2 linked regions of the Oreochromis niloticus genome follow. Each later gene encodes a partner of the first gene's protein in a complex. Links are inferred from orthologs where the notes say so. Each region holds a gene or a part of one and is shown in the gene's direction. Other genes may lie near its edges.

Region 1 (8,576 bases):
AACACACACGTCTCCCAGGACAAACAAAGCCTGTAAATAAGCTGGAGAACCACCAGAAAAGAAGCAAAGTATTGATCCAAATTTGCAATGGGACAAAAAAGCTGCTATTTGAAATGTAACAAATTTGCTTCCACTGCAGAAATAAATGATCAAACTCTCGCTCAATGAAACCTCTAGTTATATAACTTTCTCCTAAAGCTGCAAGTAAAGTTATAATCAGCTGATTGTCATTAGAGGTTAGCAGGTTAAGAGATTAATGTAGGTTTTTCTCAACATATTAATACAGTAAGCAAGACTATCTAAATGGGAAGATGTTTCCACCGAGAGAAACTCTCAAAGGTGACCTTTCCTGCTCATTTCCAGCTCCGTGTGTTTAGGTTTCAGGGACATTTAATATGAGCACCAACTACTGTAACAGTAAATATATGACAGAAAATAAGGGGGGACGTGATAGCTTCATCTCCAGACAATGAAACCTGGAACAGAAGAGGTGTATGCACTTAGTATTGGCAGAAGAAATCTGGTAAATGCGTCATATGAAAATTTGCTGTTCAATAATAAAACATACACAGAAACGTACATCTTTGAGAATAAAATAAAACTTCACAGTTTAGTTCACAAATTTCATTATTATTTTTATCATTTCTGAAACTAACAATGACATTACTCCATCAGTGTGTGAGGAACAAAAAGAAAACTGTCTCCTCACTCATCAGGCCTTTTTGAAAACCTCTCACCGTGACGAGGACGCCACAGAGCAAAGCTTGACAGAGCAGTGTGTGCATTTGATCACTAGAGGTCAGTGTTGTGCAGATCAAACTGCAAAGACACTGAGGTAATATCCTGGCTTTTACAGTGATGAGGGAAATGTGGTTAATGACGTAATGGAGCCGTTTGCTTGTTTTTAAACAAGATTACAAATGTTTTTAAAAGTTGCAATTAATTCTCAATGTTAAGTAAAAATTTACTTACATTATGGATTTACATTTTTCTTTAGTTGAAAGAAATAGCTAAAGTTGAAAGTGATACTGCAGAAAAATATGTTCTTCCATCCATCCATCCATTCATTCATTCATTCATTAATTCTCATCCAGATCAGAGTGACGGTGGAGCCTGTCACAGGGTGAGAGGCGGAGTACACTCTGGACAGCTGGCCAGTCTATCACAGGATTATTATACATTATTTAATCATTTTTATTGAGTTCTGCTTCACTGATGTTGCTGGTTGAGGTCAAGCTATCATAATGTAATTTACCCTGTTGTGTAGTTTCATCTGTAGCAGCACAGGAAATACTGATGAGATCATCACATACAAGGAAACTAATAACTTGCTGCTGTCCCACAAATATGGAGCAGTATCTAGATTTACAAAATAAAACAGTTGCTCAGGCTGAAAGCACAGTAAACAGGAGTTTACATGGTTCATGGAATATTTCACTCTTATCATATCAACTAAATAGACTTAAGATTTTATGTGGAATCAAATATGATCAGTCAGTATGTGCTAGAAAAGATCTGTAATTTTTTAATTATTTAAAAAAAAAAATGTAAACCCAGTTACTAGTTTAACAAACTGGTTTATTTGTGTAGTAAATCATTTTTTCACATTATGAATGGACTAAAAATACAAAATTGCAGAACGTACGAAGTAAAATTCAACAGTACTTTTCTCCTGTTCTAATTGGATTAATTACTTGGTGAGTATTTGAACTTATTATTAGGTAATATTGTTGTTTATACAGATTTAAACATCTTTATTCGAAAAAAGAAATCTGTAAAAACAGACATTTTTTTCATGTAACTTTAAAACATCTGTATTTTAATTAAGATGATTTTATTTTTTTAAATACCACAAAAAATTGATTATTATTGTACATTTCTGATATTTTTTACAGTATTTTTGTGGGAAAAATAATATTAATAATAATTACAGTGCAGTGTATTGATTCATTAGCCAGGAAACAATGAACACAGAGCTGCTGACCCACAAAGACTAAAAATACAAGCAATGGGAACTTTAATGTTACTTTTTTCACAGAACATATTATGATGAGTGTATGTTGACCAAAATTAAATATATTTTACATGTTTGTCAGTGTGTTGTACTGCACATTACCAGACATGAGATTTGTCCTCAGTATCTCCTCCCCTGTTGTTGCCAAACACTGATTAATACAAAGAGCTTTTTTTTGTATCACAGATGCGAGGATAACCAAAGCTTAATTTGTTTTTTAAAAGTCTCTGTCTTCAGATGGCAACATAGCAAAATCAGGGCTTTCAGTGGCAGATTAATGAATATGGTTGTTTATACAGTTTTAATTCCTCTTCATCCAAACAGAGACACCTTCTCTGGGTCGTTCTCACTGCACTGCGGTGCTGCTTGGCATCACTGGGGTGTTTTTTTCTGGATGGTAAGCATACTGTTGCAGTCCCCTTTAACAAACTCGTGAGCAGCTCTGAACCAGCTGTGATGAAAATGGTGAATTCACAGATCCCCAGAGTATGCAGATGTGTTATTCTGGGATAAGGTGAGGATATTCTGGTTCAGACAAAGCTTGTCTGGGCTGTTCTCACTGCAGTGCGGTGCTAAACCTCCACAGAGAAAAACAGTTTTTCTTTGTGAAAGTTTAGCATTTACTTTAGCTCCTCCGAACTAACCCTGAACTTTCCCTCTGTTGCCCCGAGCTTCTTCTGGATGATCACCACCACCTGCGGACTGTCAGATATCTGCACTCCTCACTGTGCAGCTACCTCATTCCTATCTCTTCGCCCACCTTCCTTGCTTTCCTCATCTCCTACAGGAGCAACAGCAGCAAGGCGATGACTTGTCCCTGAACTTATACCGAGGAGTGACGTCGCTATGATCCATGAGCTCCAACTTTATCTGGCACAGAAAGTCGAATTGCATCCAAATAGCTGTTCTCAAGGCTGTAGTCCCACCTATCCATCACCACCTCTGCATCACACAATAGGAGCCTGGCCCTGTATCAGCAACTTCTGTTCCCATCTCTCCTGGTGAATCATTAACCAACCCTACTTGCCGCAGTTTTATTTACTAAAGTTAAGATAAAACCTACCATATGAGCTCATAGTGAAGTTGTTTGTCCCTCTTATTGATTGAAATGTCTCTGTTTTATAGGAATTTACTGCATATTCTACATATTAATGCATGTACGTATGTGTGCCTGCATTGCTTCGACATGGTAGATTAAAAAAACAAAACAAAACTAGCCCCCCCCCCCCAAAAAAATATATTTGATGACAGCATGGTAAAACTGGAAATTCTGTTTTTGGTGTGGCATCCCAGTATTTTTAGTGGCCCCCTATGAAAAAATTCTGGAGGTGCCCCTGTATGAGAATCCATCAGTCCCGCAAATATGACGATTGGCTACATTTGTAAAACAGACTTTTTTGTACCACTGTGTTTAGTCACTGTAACATTAAAAAACACTCTACTGCCATGAGATCAATACATTTCTTCTAAAAAATTTATTTTTTGGTTTGTTTCTCTTGTTTTAAACTTACATTAACTCTCAAGATATAAACCTAAATAGTTCTGTTATGGAAAGCATTCTGAAGTAGTTAGCAATGGGGTTTATTGAAAGGTTCAAATTCCCGGGTTGGCTGAGACCTTTCTGTGTGGAGTTTAGATGTTCTCCCTGTGCCCTTGTGGGATCTCTTCAGTTACTCCAGCTTCCTCAAACAGTCCAAAGACATGCATGTTAGGTTAGCTGGTGATTTTAAAGCAGCTGGATGTAAGATTATATGGAGAGTGCAGACAAATCTTTGTCATGCAAAGAAGAAGCCATATGTGAACATAATAATCCCACAAGGGAAATTTATTGTGTTACAACAGCGGGATAAAGAATAAAAATAGTGCAGTCTACAATAAATAAAGAACAAAGTTAAAGTGCCACAGGCGCATAGTGACGGCCTGTGAGATTGTTATATGTAAACATTTTCCACTGTGATTAAAAAACAAAGAAAAGAAAGAATAAAAAAATTAGGTTAAGTTAAAGTAAAGTAAAAAGTGAGACTGAGATGGTAAAAGAGAGTAGTGTGAATTGCATTAATAAATAATACGTGCACTACAAATGTAAGAAACAGCTGGGAGGAAGGTACAGTATTAGTCTACCGGTGGGCGGTAATGTTTACCAACCACAAAGAAGAAGAAAAAAAAGCCGAAGAAGAGTCGTCTCCCGGTAGCCCGTTGCTAACTCGGTTTCCATGGAGATTGGTTTCAGTTTCCCGGATGTTCCAGTTTCCTCTGTTCAACATGGCGTCGGGAAAGTAAGACTTCGGCTAATATCACACAGTTTGCCCTGAAGTTAGTCCGCTCCCGCCCTTCTGATTTTTGGAAAGTTTCCAAGTACGTCGCGGGGTCGGCAGAAAAAGTTTTCCTGGGACATCCCTGGTGAGTATCCCCGCGTGGCTCTGACTTCGGTTACCGGACCGTGCTGTGGGTTAGCTTGTGGCGCGTCTCCGCTCCCCGCTGAGCCGCTAACGGAGGCTAGCGTTAGCTGCGCTCCGGTCGGTCCGGCCAGTCCGGGTGTGAGGATACCGGAGCAGCCTCCTTCAGTCTGCTCTCCTTGTGTTTGTGTGTTAGCTCATGAATCACTCAAAGCGTAGACTAGAGTGAATCGTGTCTGAACTGTGAAATCAAAAATCTGAGGGCCACTTGTGAAAGTTGTTAAACAATAAAAATGTGAAGCTAACTTTAGGTTCAGACTGTCTTCCTTTGCTAAGATCTCATACGCTCACAGGATGGCTCATTTGCACACCCAGGAGACAAACGAGTTCTGGTAACGCTGAGTCTGCCAGTCTGCTTTCTGATAAGTTCAGCTGGTTCCTGATAATCACGATCACGGTGAACTTCCGTTTTCACCTGTGAAGGAGGACTGAATTGTTTGTGTGGGCAGGCTAAAGCAGGAAAAGAGGATATTAAGCTGCTCCCTCTCTCTCTCGTGCATGAATGAATTCTCCTTTTTAGTTTCTTTTTTCCCCTCCCACTTCTTTTCCTCTTGGCTGGCGGATGTCATGTTATGGATTGCATTTGTGTTGTGCTTCGTGAGTGTGCAGTGAGAGGAAGGGGGGGGGGGTTTGTGTTTGTAAGGTCGTGCGGTTGGTGCTGGGCACACCATACATTCCTGGGATTCCAGAGAAGCTGTATGAAGGGGTCACTCGTCTCTCTCACATATGCACCATTCCCAAACAGCAGCGGGAACATCTACATCATGTATGGCAAAATATTCATCAGCAATATTCACGTGTTAAGTTGCGAGATGGGATGCAGCTGCAAGACAGCTGATATCCATCTACTAGTAAGTAAGATAAACAGTTAAGTTTATCTGCTGGAGAGTTCAAAGGCAGTGTGATGAAAAGGTGAAAGTCTTTTAAAAAGATGTTAGTGTTTATAGCACAGAAGTGGGAACAGATAACAAGAAAAGTACATTTAAATAAACTATGGATACATGAGGATAGGATTTAGGCCAAATTCTTTTGACAGTATCAGCTCAGAATTTCACAATCAGTACAGCCATATTGAAAAGTTATATTTTTGTTAGATAGTAGCTAACTGACTAATATCTCTTTGGGAAAATGCAACTTATGGATGGCATTTGTTCTGCTAAATTACAACAACCTCAACTGAATCTGAAAGAAACAAATGGCAAGTTTACTGGAAAAAAATTGGAAATGTGTGTGTTTTCTTTGAGTGATTGTTCATTGTGAACAAAAAACACAGCATATGTGCTGAATATGAATCTAACAGTGTTAAGATAACATGGTTTTAAAATACCTTGTTAGGTACCTGATAATTTAAAATTATACAAACCTAAGCCAAAAGGACAGGTGAAAGAAAGTAATTAGCTTTTCTAGCAGAAAATGTTTAAGTTCTGTTTACTTTTTCGGGTTTCCAGAACAGCTTTAATAAAAAGCATCTTCTTCTGTCTGCTGGTAGTTGTAGAAACATTGGAATTGTCTGCTCTGTGGTGGAAAAACGAGGAGCCAACCAAGGTAATCAAACAGGAAAAACAGGCTGGCAGGTTAAACAGTCATCCTCACTGACATATTTGGACCAGATAAACCAAATCCACGCAGGTCATAGAAGCAGCAGACAATCAACAAGTGGAAAAATAAACGACTTTGTGTGGCAGACAAGGGGCATATAGAGAGTCTGTTGGGAAAGGAGCATTAAGTGTATGCTGCTGTTTGGTTTTTGTTTGTTTTTCCTTAAAGTAGGATATCAGTATTATACTTTATTCTCCTCCTGAAAGGAGGCTCCAGTTGGCTCTCCCTGTAGGGTAAAAGAGGGGGTTTTGTGGTACCCTGGAGGTTGCTCAAAAAGCCCTCATCCCAGTATAAATAATCAAAACTGGTCCCAAAAGATGCTGCTTGGTGTTTATTCTGCTTGCTGGCAGGAAACTTATTATGCTACCTGGCAGGATAAAGACATTTAACAACACTTTTTAACTTTAATTTTACTACTTCATAATAATTTCCTTTGGCTCAGACAACAATAAACCACAATGTCTGCGGGTAGAAGTCTGTTGGGAACCTTTGCTGCATCCATCTTTCCTTCATTTCCTGTCATTTGCCTGCTGGCACTATGTAACAGGGCCAAACCTAAGAGAGCCCTGCCAGTTTCAGTCACTGACTAGCAGTTTCACTGGCTGAAATGAAACCTGTTCCTGAATTTATTCCCAAGGTCATATGATTTATCGAAGTGCTGTGACTCATTACTGATGATGATTGAAATGATGGCACAGATCTTTTGGGGGGGGGGGGGGGGACAAAACAAAACTAGAACTTTTGGCCTATGGGTCAGAAATGTGTCTGGAGAAGGAAGAATGAACTGACCTATAGTAATGCATGATGGTGGCTCAGTGATGTCAGAGACTTCTTTGATTCCTCATGTAATGCAAAAGTCTACAAAGTACAACTGGCAACATGTAGTAAATAAAGTATCAGAAATCCTGGAAGAAAATAATAATAATGATAATGGATTGCATTTATATAGCGCTTTTCTAAGCACCCAAAACGCTTTACAGTTCCACTATTCATTCACTCTCACATTCACACACTGGTGGAGGCAAGCTACAGTTGTAGCCACAGCTGCCCTGGGGTAGACTGACAGAAGCGAGGCTGCCATATCGCGCCATCGGCCCCTCTGGCCAACACCAGTAGGCGGTAGGGTAAAGTGTCTTGCCCAAGGACACAACGACCAGGACAGAGAGAGCAGGGGGATCGAACTGGCAACCTTCCGGTTACAGATGAGCTTCCCAATCTCCTGAGCCACGGTCGCCAAAATGTATTGCTGTCAGTGAGGACGCTGATGCGCAAGCATTGATGGACCTTTCAGTAGTAGTACAGTGACCCAAGCATACCTCAGAATATTGGCTTTAGGTTTCAGAGGAAGTCCTAGATAGTGGCTGTCTGAACCATTAATATGGAAAAGCTGTGGCGGGACTTGACTAAGGCAGTTAGAAAGAAGTGTACTTATAGTTACGAACTTTGAGGTGCTGTTTTATGCAGAATTTACTAGACAAAGCTAGACAAACTTCTTCCATAATAAAGGCCCATTTGGCAGCTATTTCAGTGTGCAGTGTGGGCTTTGGTGATAAGCCTGCTGGACACTGAATTTATGCCAATAAACCTAATACACAATGGGGCTAAAGATTTTTTGCTTCTAACTGTATTTAGCAGTAAAGAAGAGGCATTCAAAAATATATCTGATCACTTGCTATATGCTACTTTTTTCAAATTCCTCTGCAGTTTCTGTATTTTCTTTGATCATATTTATAAAGCTGCAGTACCTAAAATCTACTGAGTTTGAAGGATTCACTCCAAGCAGATTTAAGAGTTTTTCTTGATTTTCGGCCAGTTTTTAGGTGAATCACAGCAGAGGAGGCGAGCCATGAAGGTGGAAATGATCAGAAATCACAGATGACTGTTGACAGATGTGTCCAGCAGGAGACAGAGCTGCTGGCAGGAGGGATGTTGTCATTGCTTTGATGCGAACTGACCAGAAGGGCCCGAACGCAGCTGCTGTTCAGGCTTCTTCTGTGAAGTCCAAACAGCTTTCACAGCGATGTACAAGGTGATGGCTGGAGGCAAAAGGGCAATAACAGGCAGGAGCATGAGGTGTGTGTGGTGATTTGTTATCGAGAAAGAAACTGATGGTGTTGAAAGGAAAAAAAAGAAACAATTTTCTGGTGTGGTCTGAGTAAAGGGCAACAGGATGTCTATTTCAAAAAAGTTTGAGATCACAAAGTTGCAGCCACTATGTTTCCAGGTATGAAAGTTTGAAGACATGACGGCTGTCTGACATTACATTTGACTAGAGTCTGTGATGCACGTTTTTCCTTTTTCATTTAGTTCTGATCCTGTGTGATGACTTGAGGTGAAAAAATGAACTTCTGAGCCTTTGAATAGTTGTAATCAATTAAAATTTTTAAAAGTAGGAAATTAACTTTCTTTACTGATAAATAGCCGTGAAGTTGATTAGTCACCACCACCAACAGCAATTAAAGCCTAAACAACCCCCCCCCCCCAAAGAAAATCTCTTTAACTGTTGA
Region 2 (8,576 bases), on another chromosome or scaffold:
AGTCTCAGGTGTACACACTGCTACAAAACAGCACAAGAGAAGGAGGATTTAGTGTTTGTGTTATTACGAGTGCTAAACAAGAAGAGTTCCCAGATGGTCCAGTGGACACATGTGTGACTCCTGTGATTAAAGCATCTTTCTTTCAGCTTAACGAGTGAACCGTCAGCTCGTTCAAACACACGTTAAAGTCCGTTTGGCTCGACACCACCGAACAGAGGCAGCAATATAACATAGCTAACATTAACAGTGCAGTGAATCCTGCTTGTGCCGTCATATTCAGGACTGCAAACCGAGCAGCATCACTGACTTTCAGCTTGTTGTGTTTGTGGATATATGACTGACTTTAATTATCCATAAAATCATCACATTCTCTGTAAGATTAAAGTCAACTATTGAACGGCATATATTTTGAAGTAAAGGCTTTAAAACCAAGTTAGTACAAACATCACTAATGTCACTTAACTTTGCTGACATGTGGCCAACAGTAATGTTTTAATGTTCTTCATTATAAAAACATTTGCGCATAAATAAGTGACATAATATTCAGTACTTACTTCTGAAAGTTTACTCTTTGGCGGCTCCGCTTCCGCCGTTTTTTTCGGCAAAATTATCCACACCACGGCCGCGCTATGAAATCTGGGATATGTTGGGCCATGAAGGCTACACCGACCCATCCTTAAAATTCAGGGAAATTAAGGACGCATTTGAGGGCCGCATTTCGAGCAGCCTTTGAATTGGGACAGCCTTCGTCGTTTCGCTGTGACATAATCGTCCTTAAAATGTCGCCTTTAAGGCTGCAGACCCTGAATTGGGATAGAGCCCAAATCCGGTCATTGGTACTTCCTGGCTTGTGTAGTTACTAGGTAACGAAAGCTCAACACTGCCCCTAGCGTCCTGGAGCACTTCCGTTGTGTTTTGGAATTTGCAAGTGTTTTGGAGTTTGCATGTGTTTTGGAGTTTGCAAGTGTTTTGGATTTTGCAAGTGTTTTGGATTTTGCAAGTGTTTTGGAGTTTGCATATGTTTTGGAGTTTGCAAGTGTTTTGGATTTTGCAAGTGTTTTGGAGTTTGCAAGTGTTTTGGATTTTGCAAGTGTTTTGGAGTTTGCAAGTGTTTTGGAGTTTGCAAGTGTTTTGGATTTTGCAAGTGTTTTGGATTTTGCAAGTGTTTTGGAGTTTGCATGTGTTTTGGAGTTTGCATGTGCTTTGGAGTTTGTACGTGCTTTGTCTCTAGGGGCCACCGTAAAAATGGACCGCGGGCCGGGCTTTGGACACCCCTGCATTAGTCCATGTACAAAGTAAAGTCCAATACAAGCGAGACTGTAGCTAAATAGACTTACCTGATCTCAGCTACATGTTAAAAAGAACGACTGCTACAATGTCCAGAACTGATGTGTAAAAAAAAAAAAAAGAAGACGGGTCGTGCATGCAGGGATTGAAAACACTGATGCTGAAATGAAGGCTGGCTAGTCAACAGTGAAAATGTATATATTCAAGTATAGGTGTGTCCTTATATCACTAAAGGTGGGTATTTTTGATACTCACGCACCAATTTGCCAGTTAAAACGTTTGTTTGTGAGGAGCAGCCAATTAGAAGAAAGCTGAGGAGCTGTGCCACCCTAAAATGATCCCTTGCCACCCCTAGTGCCACCCTAGTTTTGCATATGACATGTTGTTTATTAAAATAGGACAGCATTAATACTTGTAGCCTAGCTACAGTTAACACTGAATATAAATTCTAAAACTGAATATATTGCATAGTGTTTCCCACCTCCACCATTAACAAATGGTTCCGCCCATCGCGCTTTCTTATTCTTGTTTCCAGTAGCAACCGATGCCTATGATTGCATCAGAGCACATTTTGAATCAAAACCATGGGCATTTCACATTTCACACAGGCGGCTGGTTGTTACGCTCTGGAAATGGAAGGAAGGTGAATCCTCTGGGGTCCACGGACACGCTGCACCTCCAAATCACATGAGTGATTTAAGCTGACATAACAAGCTGCAGCCACGGTGAATCTCTATTTCAGCTTGTTGAAAGTTCGTACTTAAAAGTATACACCAGTTTTTAAATTTTAATGACAGACCACTAAATCCTTATCTGAGCTATGATTTTTTTCTAAATACTATCGTCATGGTAAAAAAAAAAAAAAGAAAAAGAAAAAGAAAAGCGTTTTTCTAATGACAGCACGAAAACAGTAAAGAAATAAAACATAGCCTCTTTCCTATTGGTGGAAAAATGTACCCTGTCGACCAAGAAAAAAAACCGGCAACACAGGGTTTGGTTGTTTAGGAAGAGAGGAAAGCTTTGGGAGTGACGGTAGTGAGACAGAGCTAGCCAGGGAGGGAGAGTGACAGAGCGCGAGTTTTGAGATGTGAGAGATTTTTGACGTTTAGCATATAGTTAGTGCATTGTGTTGTCTTGTGTAGTCTTTGTTTTTGTTTTGTATAGCAGTGAGGGCACTAATGAATGTCACAAAGGCAGATTTCAATGTAAACACTGTCTCCAGGTGGAAAACCAGAAGAGTGATACACCTGTTGTCAGGCCCGCAGGGTTTATCCCTGTGGTGGTCTCTTCTGTATTGTGTTTTTACTGGCACAAATAATTTGTGGGAAATCTTATTGTGACACCTGATTGTTCTCTTATTTTAGTTATAGAAGTATTTTTAAATTGTTGTATAAAATTAAAAAACAACAACAACAACAAAAAACCAACACCAGATGCGTTGGCTACATTTTTAGATAAATAGTTGCATGTAACTTTATTGTTTACAAAATTTATGCATAAGTTTTCAAAATATCCTATTTATATTTGCATTTTAAGTTATGAAATAAATTTACTAAATATGTCTATGGGTTTTACATTTAAAAAATACTACTAGGATTTCATGTTTTTGTGTGATTTCAGATCAGTTGTGTTAATACAGAATGTCAATGAGAAAATAACTGTAAATTCAGACACGTGAGGTTGTGCCGAAAAGAATGATACCAAGCAAGTTGAGGTAAAAAATCAAATAAAACAAAACAATTTAAAGGTGAAATACAAATGTAAAATCAAAAGTAGTCAAAAATGGCCAATTATATTTTGGACCTCAGAGTTCAAAATATAATCCCAACAAATCATGAAAAATTACAAAATTACATTTTTGTTCATGACAGGGTAAATTTGTGTGAATTTAAGCATGTAACAATCTGATTTTTTTCTAACAAAAAGGTGAAACTTAAGTTAGACCTGTGTTTGTAAATGAACTGCCCCATGTTGGGTTGCTTTCTGGATTTTATGCTTTTTAGGCTACATATTTATTTATTATACAGGCTATACAGTACATAAACTCAAAATTCACGTTTTATGCAACTGAATGTTTAACTATGTGGGCTACAGAAAGTAATTAAGTTATAGACTATATTTATATGAAACGTGTATACTTACTGCATTTGAATCATTTTAACCATATGTAACACCTGCCTACGTGGGTTTAAAAAAACAAGGCTGGGATTTTGTCACCTCATTTGATTTCCATGCCACCCTAAGAAGATTTCTCGAGATCCGCCCCTGGGCTGCATCTCGGTATAACAGGAGAGCATTATGACAAGAGCAGTGTTTCCTAGTCGATGCCTCCCATCTGGTGCTTTCTGTGCATTCACCGCTAGATGTCTCCACGTGGTCGACATACCGTGGTGCCGACAACTCCAAAAGGCAGTGAACGGGTTAAAGTAATCCCTGGCGGGGAGTGGGCGGAGATTCCAGCTGGAAGCAAACCGAGAAAGCAACGCTCAAATCTAGAAAGGAAAATCACAGTTGAGCGTAGGTTTGTTCATCTAATTTGGGACGGGATTATTTCCTCTTTTAGTGATCTTTGGGTGGATTTGAAAGGAGAGGTGGCATGAAGTCCACGCTGAAGTGTGAGAGCAGTTGTCAGCTGATGGTAGAGTAGACGTGGAAGGCTACAGAGGCGTCAGACACCGAAGCCTGAGTTAGGAGAGCAGATCAACAGGACGGTGCAGAGCGCTGACTCTCACACTTGAAGACAATGGAACTGCTGTCCCTCACCTCACACGGATCCTTCACTGTGATGAGCCCTAAACCCGCGTGTCCGTGGATGTGAAATGGTCTAAACACGCCACACTGTTTTGATTTGCACGGATCAGCTGGACTTATTCTGGTGAGCGCGCTGATGGGAGAGTAACACAGCGCCATCGGTTCCTGAAGAGATACGAAACCGGTGTTTCCCGAAACCTCTAAAAACACCAACAGGGATACCATGTGGAATCTCGGGACGTGGATGTGGCAGGCGGCTCTATGCTGCATGCTTCTGCAAACAGTGCTGCCCAGTGCCAGAGGTAGGACGCAGGACTGTCTTCTTCTCAACACAAATCACTGCCTGTTTTTGCAGCGGCCGGTGGGCTGAGTTTGGATCACACACGCGGAGCTGGAGCTCCTCGAAAAAACACTGCGAAGCCCCTGACAGTGTTAAACGAAAGGACTACATGGCCTAGGATAGATAAGGATTATTTTTAACTGTGAATCATGCAAAGCTACTGTGGAAATAAAATTGGAGCAAGACAAGATTTTTTGTTATTTTTTCCCCATTCAGTGCCAAGAAAATCAGCCTTATGTCACGCTTACCTTTGAATGGCCACACAGTCAGTCAGACAAATGTTTGAAACTATTGATAAATTTCATTAAGAGCTCACCAAGGCCATGATCACTCCAGCTGATGTTCAGCTGCTAAATCAGTGCCTCCATGATTTCATATGAACAAGCAGCATATTAAGAATATTGGCTGAGATTTTCATATCAGATTTTTTTACATCCCCAAAAATCAATGTTTGCATCAGATGGAAACGAGCATGACAGGTCCTGTTTAACCTTGGATTCAATATGGGCTTTATTATTATTAATTTTTTTAACCTTAGGGTCTGTTTCCTTGGTCATTAATTTGAAATAGAAGTACAACCGTGATAGGGATGAAAGTGGAAATCTAGCCTCAGCTCTGTTCCCGTCCCCCCTCAGGTCTCAACATGTGCATGAGTGGCAGTGCTACTTCCTGTGAAGAATGCCTCCTGATTCACCCCAGTTGCGCCTGGTGCGCACAAGAGGTATGGCTTAGTTGATCGATTATTTTCATCATGTACATTTACTTGTACAGGTCCATGAAGTGGGGGATGCATTCACCACTTTTCACTTTTTTGGGGGACCTTTTGGAAGCAGTACGAGTAATCAGGAATCTGAGATTTGTTGCTTTCCATCTTGCAGGATTTTGGAAGGGGGCGCAGTCTGACATCACGGTGTGACTTTAGTCAAAACCTGTTGAAGAGAGGCTGTGACGAACACTTCATTGAATACCTAACCAGCAGCATCAACGTCCTGCAGAACATACCCCTGAGTTCAAAAGGGTCTGGGTCGACCCAGTATGATGTGGTCCAGATTATGCCACAGAAGATCTCTCTCAGCCTGCGTCCCGGTAAGAATCATAAACATTTCATATTTAGGATACGGAATAACCTTGGAACATGCAAAAAAAAAAAAAAGCATTAAAAGCATCTCTTATAAATAATGCAAAGCTCACTGATTTGTTCATGCAGGAGACCAGACGTGGTTCAGCCTGCAGGTGCGGCAGGTGGAGGACTACCCGGTGGATCTCTACTACCTGATGGACCTCTCTCTTTCAATGAAAGATGATCTGGACACCATTCGCAACCTGGGCACTAAGCTAGCCCACGAGATGGGCAAGCTCACCAGCAATTTCAGGCTAGGCTTCGGCTCATTTGTGGACAAAAACATGTCCCCGTTCTCCTACATGGCACCAAAGTACCAGGAGAACCCATGCAACGGGTAGGTGGTGGCAAAAGGAATCGAGCTCGATAGCTATAGGTGAAAGTGATTTACTCTGTGGCCACACTCTGTTTTTGCACCTTTCTGAATTGTGTACTCTGCATCTGTGAGAATGAGAGTTTTGGGGTTTTTTTCTTAATATTTATAAGGCAGAGTGAATAATGTAGTTCTTAAAAATGGCCCTAGTACTCCCACGGTCCCCTGGGGCTGGTGATGCAGGGAAACTGAAAGGGAGCAGAAGTGAAAGAGTAGAGAAAGCTGTGGCACACGATGTTTGCCCTGAAGGTGCGGCTAACTCTGTGCGCATCACTTCCCATTTAGGTTATGGCCTGGGCTGTGTGTGTGTGCCATGTTTAGATATTTTTGTGAGTGTGTGTTTGTGCATCAGTCACAAACAATAAGGCACTTTAGGGAAAAACTAAAGCGATTGCTGCTAAAAGATCTCCCTTCTTTCATATTTCATTTCTATCCCATTCACTACATTAGAAAGAGTCTACAAGTACTGTATATGAAGTGAATCATAAGATACGCCATATTTAACATTTTAGCTTCTTTTCAACACAAACGAACCGTCAGAGCCAGGATTTATGCCTTTAAAGACACTTATTGTGTTTTTTAATTTCCAAAAATGTAAATAAAACATTTTCTTAACATGCAGTGTCTGTCACCCTGCACAGGTACAAGCTGTTTCCCAACTGTGTCCCCAGCTTTGGTTTCCGCCACATCCTCTCGCTGACTGACAAAGTGGACCGTTTTAACGAGGAGGTGCAGAAGCAGATGGTATCCCGCAATAGAGACGCACCGGAGGGCGGCTTTGACGCCATCCTTCAGGCTGCTGTTTGTAAGGTGATGATCTTTTTTCTAGTAGATGTTTCCATTCGCCTGCCCCTTCTGTTCATTTACAACTTCATACTTTTATTATTAGACTTGCTTACACATAAGCTTTCCTTTACATGCAGTTAAATGTTTTGCTTGTATTCATTTGGTTTATAGTGTAAACTGTATGCAATAACCTGAAGGAAGAGAGGATTATCATTATTATTATTATTATTATTATTATTAAGCAGTATTAGGAGATTTATCCAGGACTTCATAATTTCTTTTGTACATGTGCTCAGAGGCTGTTCTATGTTTGAAGAATATGAAGTTATTGATGAACCCCACATTTGTGTGAACTGTTTATGCAAAGATTGCATGTGTACTGTTTGTGAATGAGGCCCTTTTTTTAGTGGCAAAATCCAACCATGTCTTTGTTCTGTGTGAAGCTGATGTACCTGGAGAGAGCCCACACAGGCATGGGGAGAACATGCAGCCTCCGCACAGAGAAGTCTCTGAGCTGGCTGGGAGTCGGTCCTGATGTTAGTGATATCAGTGATTAGTGGACTCGGTTTCTGTTTTACTGTAGCTAGTCTTGCAATTGTTGACTTTGGCATTGAAAGAACTCAGAAACCAGTCTTACTTGTTATCATCTATCGTCCACCTGGGCCTTACACAGAGTTTCTCTCTGATTTCTCAGACTTTTTATCTGATTTAGTGCTCAGCTCAGATAAAATAATTATTGTGGGTGATTTTAACATCCATGTAGATGCTAAAAATGACAGCCTCAACATCGCATTTAATCTGTTACTAGACTCAATTGGCTTCTCTCAAAATGTAAAAGAACCCACCCACCACTTTAATCACACTCTAGATCTTGTTTTAACGTATGGCATAGAAACTGAATATTTAACAGTGTTTCCTGAAAACCCTCTGCTGTCTGATCATTTCCTGATAACATTTACATTTACAATAATTGATTACACAGCAGTGGAGAGTAGACTTTATCAAAGTAGATGTCTTTCTGAAAGTGCTGTAACTAAGTTTAAGAATATAATCCACCCACTGTTATCATCTTCAATGCCCTGTACCAACATAGAGCAGAGCAGCTATCTGAACGCTACTCCAACAGAGGTCGATTATCTTGTTAATAATTTTACCTCCTCACTACGTACGACTCTGGATACTGTAGCTCCTGTGAAAACTAAGGCCTCAAATCCAAAGTCCCTGACTCCGTGGTATAATTCTCAAACACGTAGCCTAAAGCAGATAACTCGTAAGCTGGAGAGGAAATGGCGTGTCACAAATTTAGAGGATCATCATTTAGCCTGGAGAAATAGTTTGCTGCTTTATAAGAAAGCCCTCCGCAAAGCCAGAACATCTTACTATTCGTCACTGATTGAAGAAAATAAGAACAACCCCAGGTTTCTCTTCAGCACTGTAGCCAGGCTGACAAAAAGTCAGAGCTCTACTGAGCCAACCATCCCTTTAACGTTAACTAGTAATGACTTCATGAACTTCTTCACAAATAAAATTTTTATCATTAGAGAAAAAATTACCAATAATCATCCCACAGATGTAATATTATCTACAGCTACTCTTAGTACCATCGATGTTAAGTTAGACTCTTTTTCTCCAATTGATCTTTCTGAGTTAACTTCAATAATTAATTCCTCCAAACCATCAACGTGTCTTTTAGACCCCATTCCTACAAAACTGCTCAAAGAAGTCCTGCCATTAATTAATTCTTCGATCTTAAATATGATCAACCTATCTCTAATAATCGGCTATGTACCACAGGCCTTCAAGCTGGCTGTAGTTAAACCTTTACTTAAAAAGCCATCTCTAGACCCAGCTGTCTTAGCTAATTATAGGCCAATCTCCAACCTTCCTTTCATATCAAAAATCCTTGAAAGAGTAGTTGT

What was found.
Region 2: the proteins of pak4 (region 1) and itgb5 are in contact, whole or in part, in a crystal structure (PDB 7S46), measured with the Homo sapiens proteins. The link is inferred for Oreochromis niloticus from reciprocal best matches to the Homo sapiens genes PAK4 and ITGB5. Residues at the interface, in NP_001014831.1 of Homo sapiens: Gly330, Ser331, Gln358, Arg359, Leu362, Thr404, Lys442, Ser443, Asp444, Asp458, Phe461, Leu475, Val476, Gly477, Thr478, Pro479, Tyr480, Trp481, Met482, Glu507, Glu512, Phe516, Asn517, Glu518, Pro519, Pro520, Met524; in NP_002204.2 of Homo sapiens: Ser762, Arg763, Ala764, Arg765, Tyr766, Glu767, Met768, Ala769, Ser770.

The regions. Positions count from the first base shown.
Region 1 is NC_031979.2:34,929,886-34,938,461, forward strand, and holds the start of pak4 (serine/threonine-protein kinase PAK 4), read left to right. Parts: upstream 1-3,568; 5' UTR 3,569-4,414; intron 4,415-8,576. UniProt on the Homo sapiens protein: Serine/threonine-protein kinase that plays a role in a variety of different signaling pathways including cytoskeleton regulation, cell adhesion turnover, cell migration, growth, proliferation or cell survival.
Region 2 is NC_031987.2:31,871,449-31,880,024, reverse strand, and holds the start of itgb5 (integrin beta-5), read left to right. Parts: upstream 1-3,718; 5' UTR 3,719-4,261; coding exon 4,262-4,340; intron 4,341-5,013; coding exon 5,014-5,099; intron 5,100-5,256; coding exon 5,257-5,464; intron 5,465-5,585; coding exon 5,586-5,835; intron 5,836-6,512; coding exon 6,513-6,681; intron 6,682-8,576.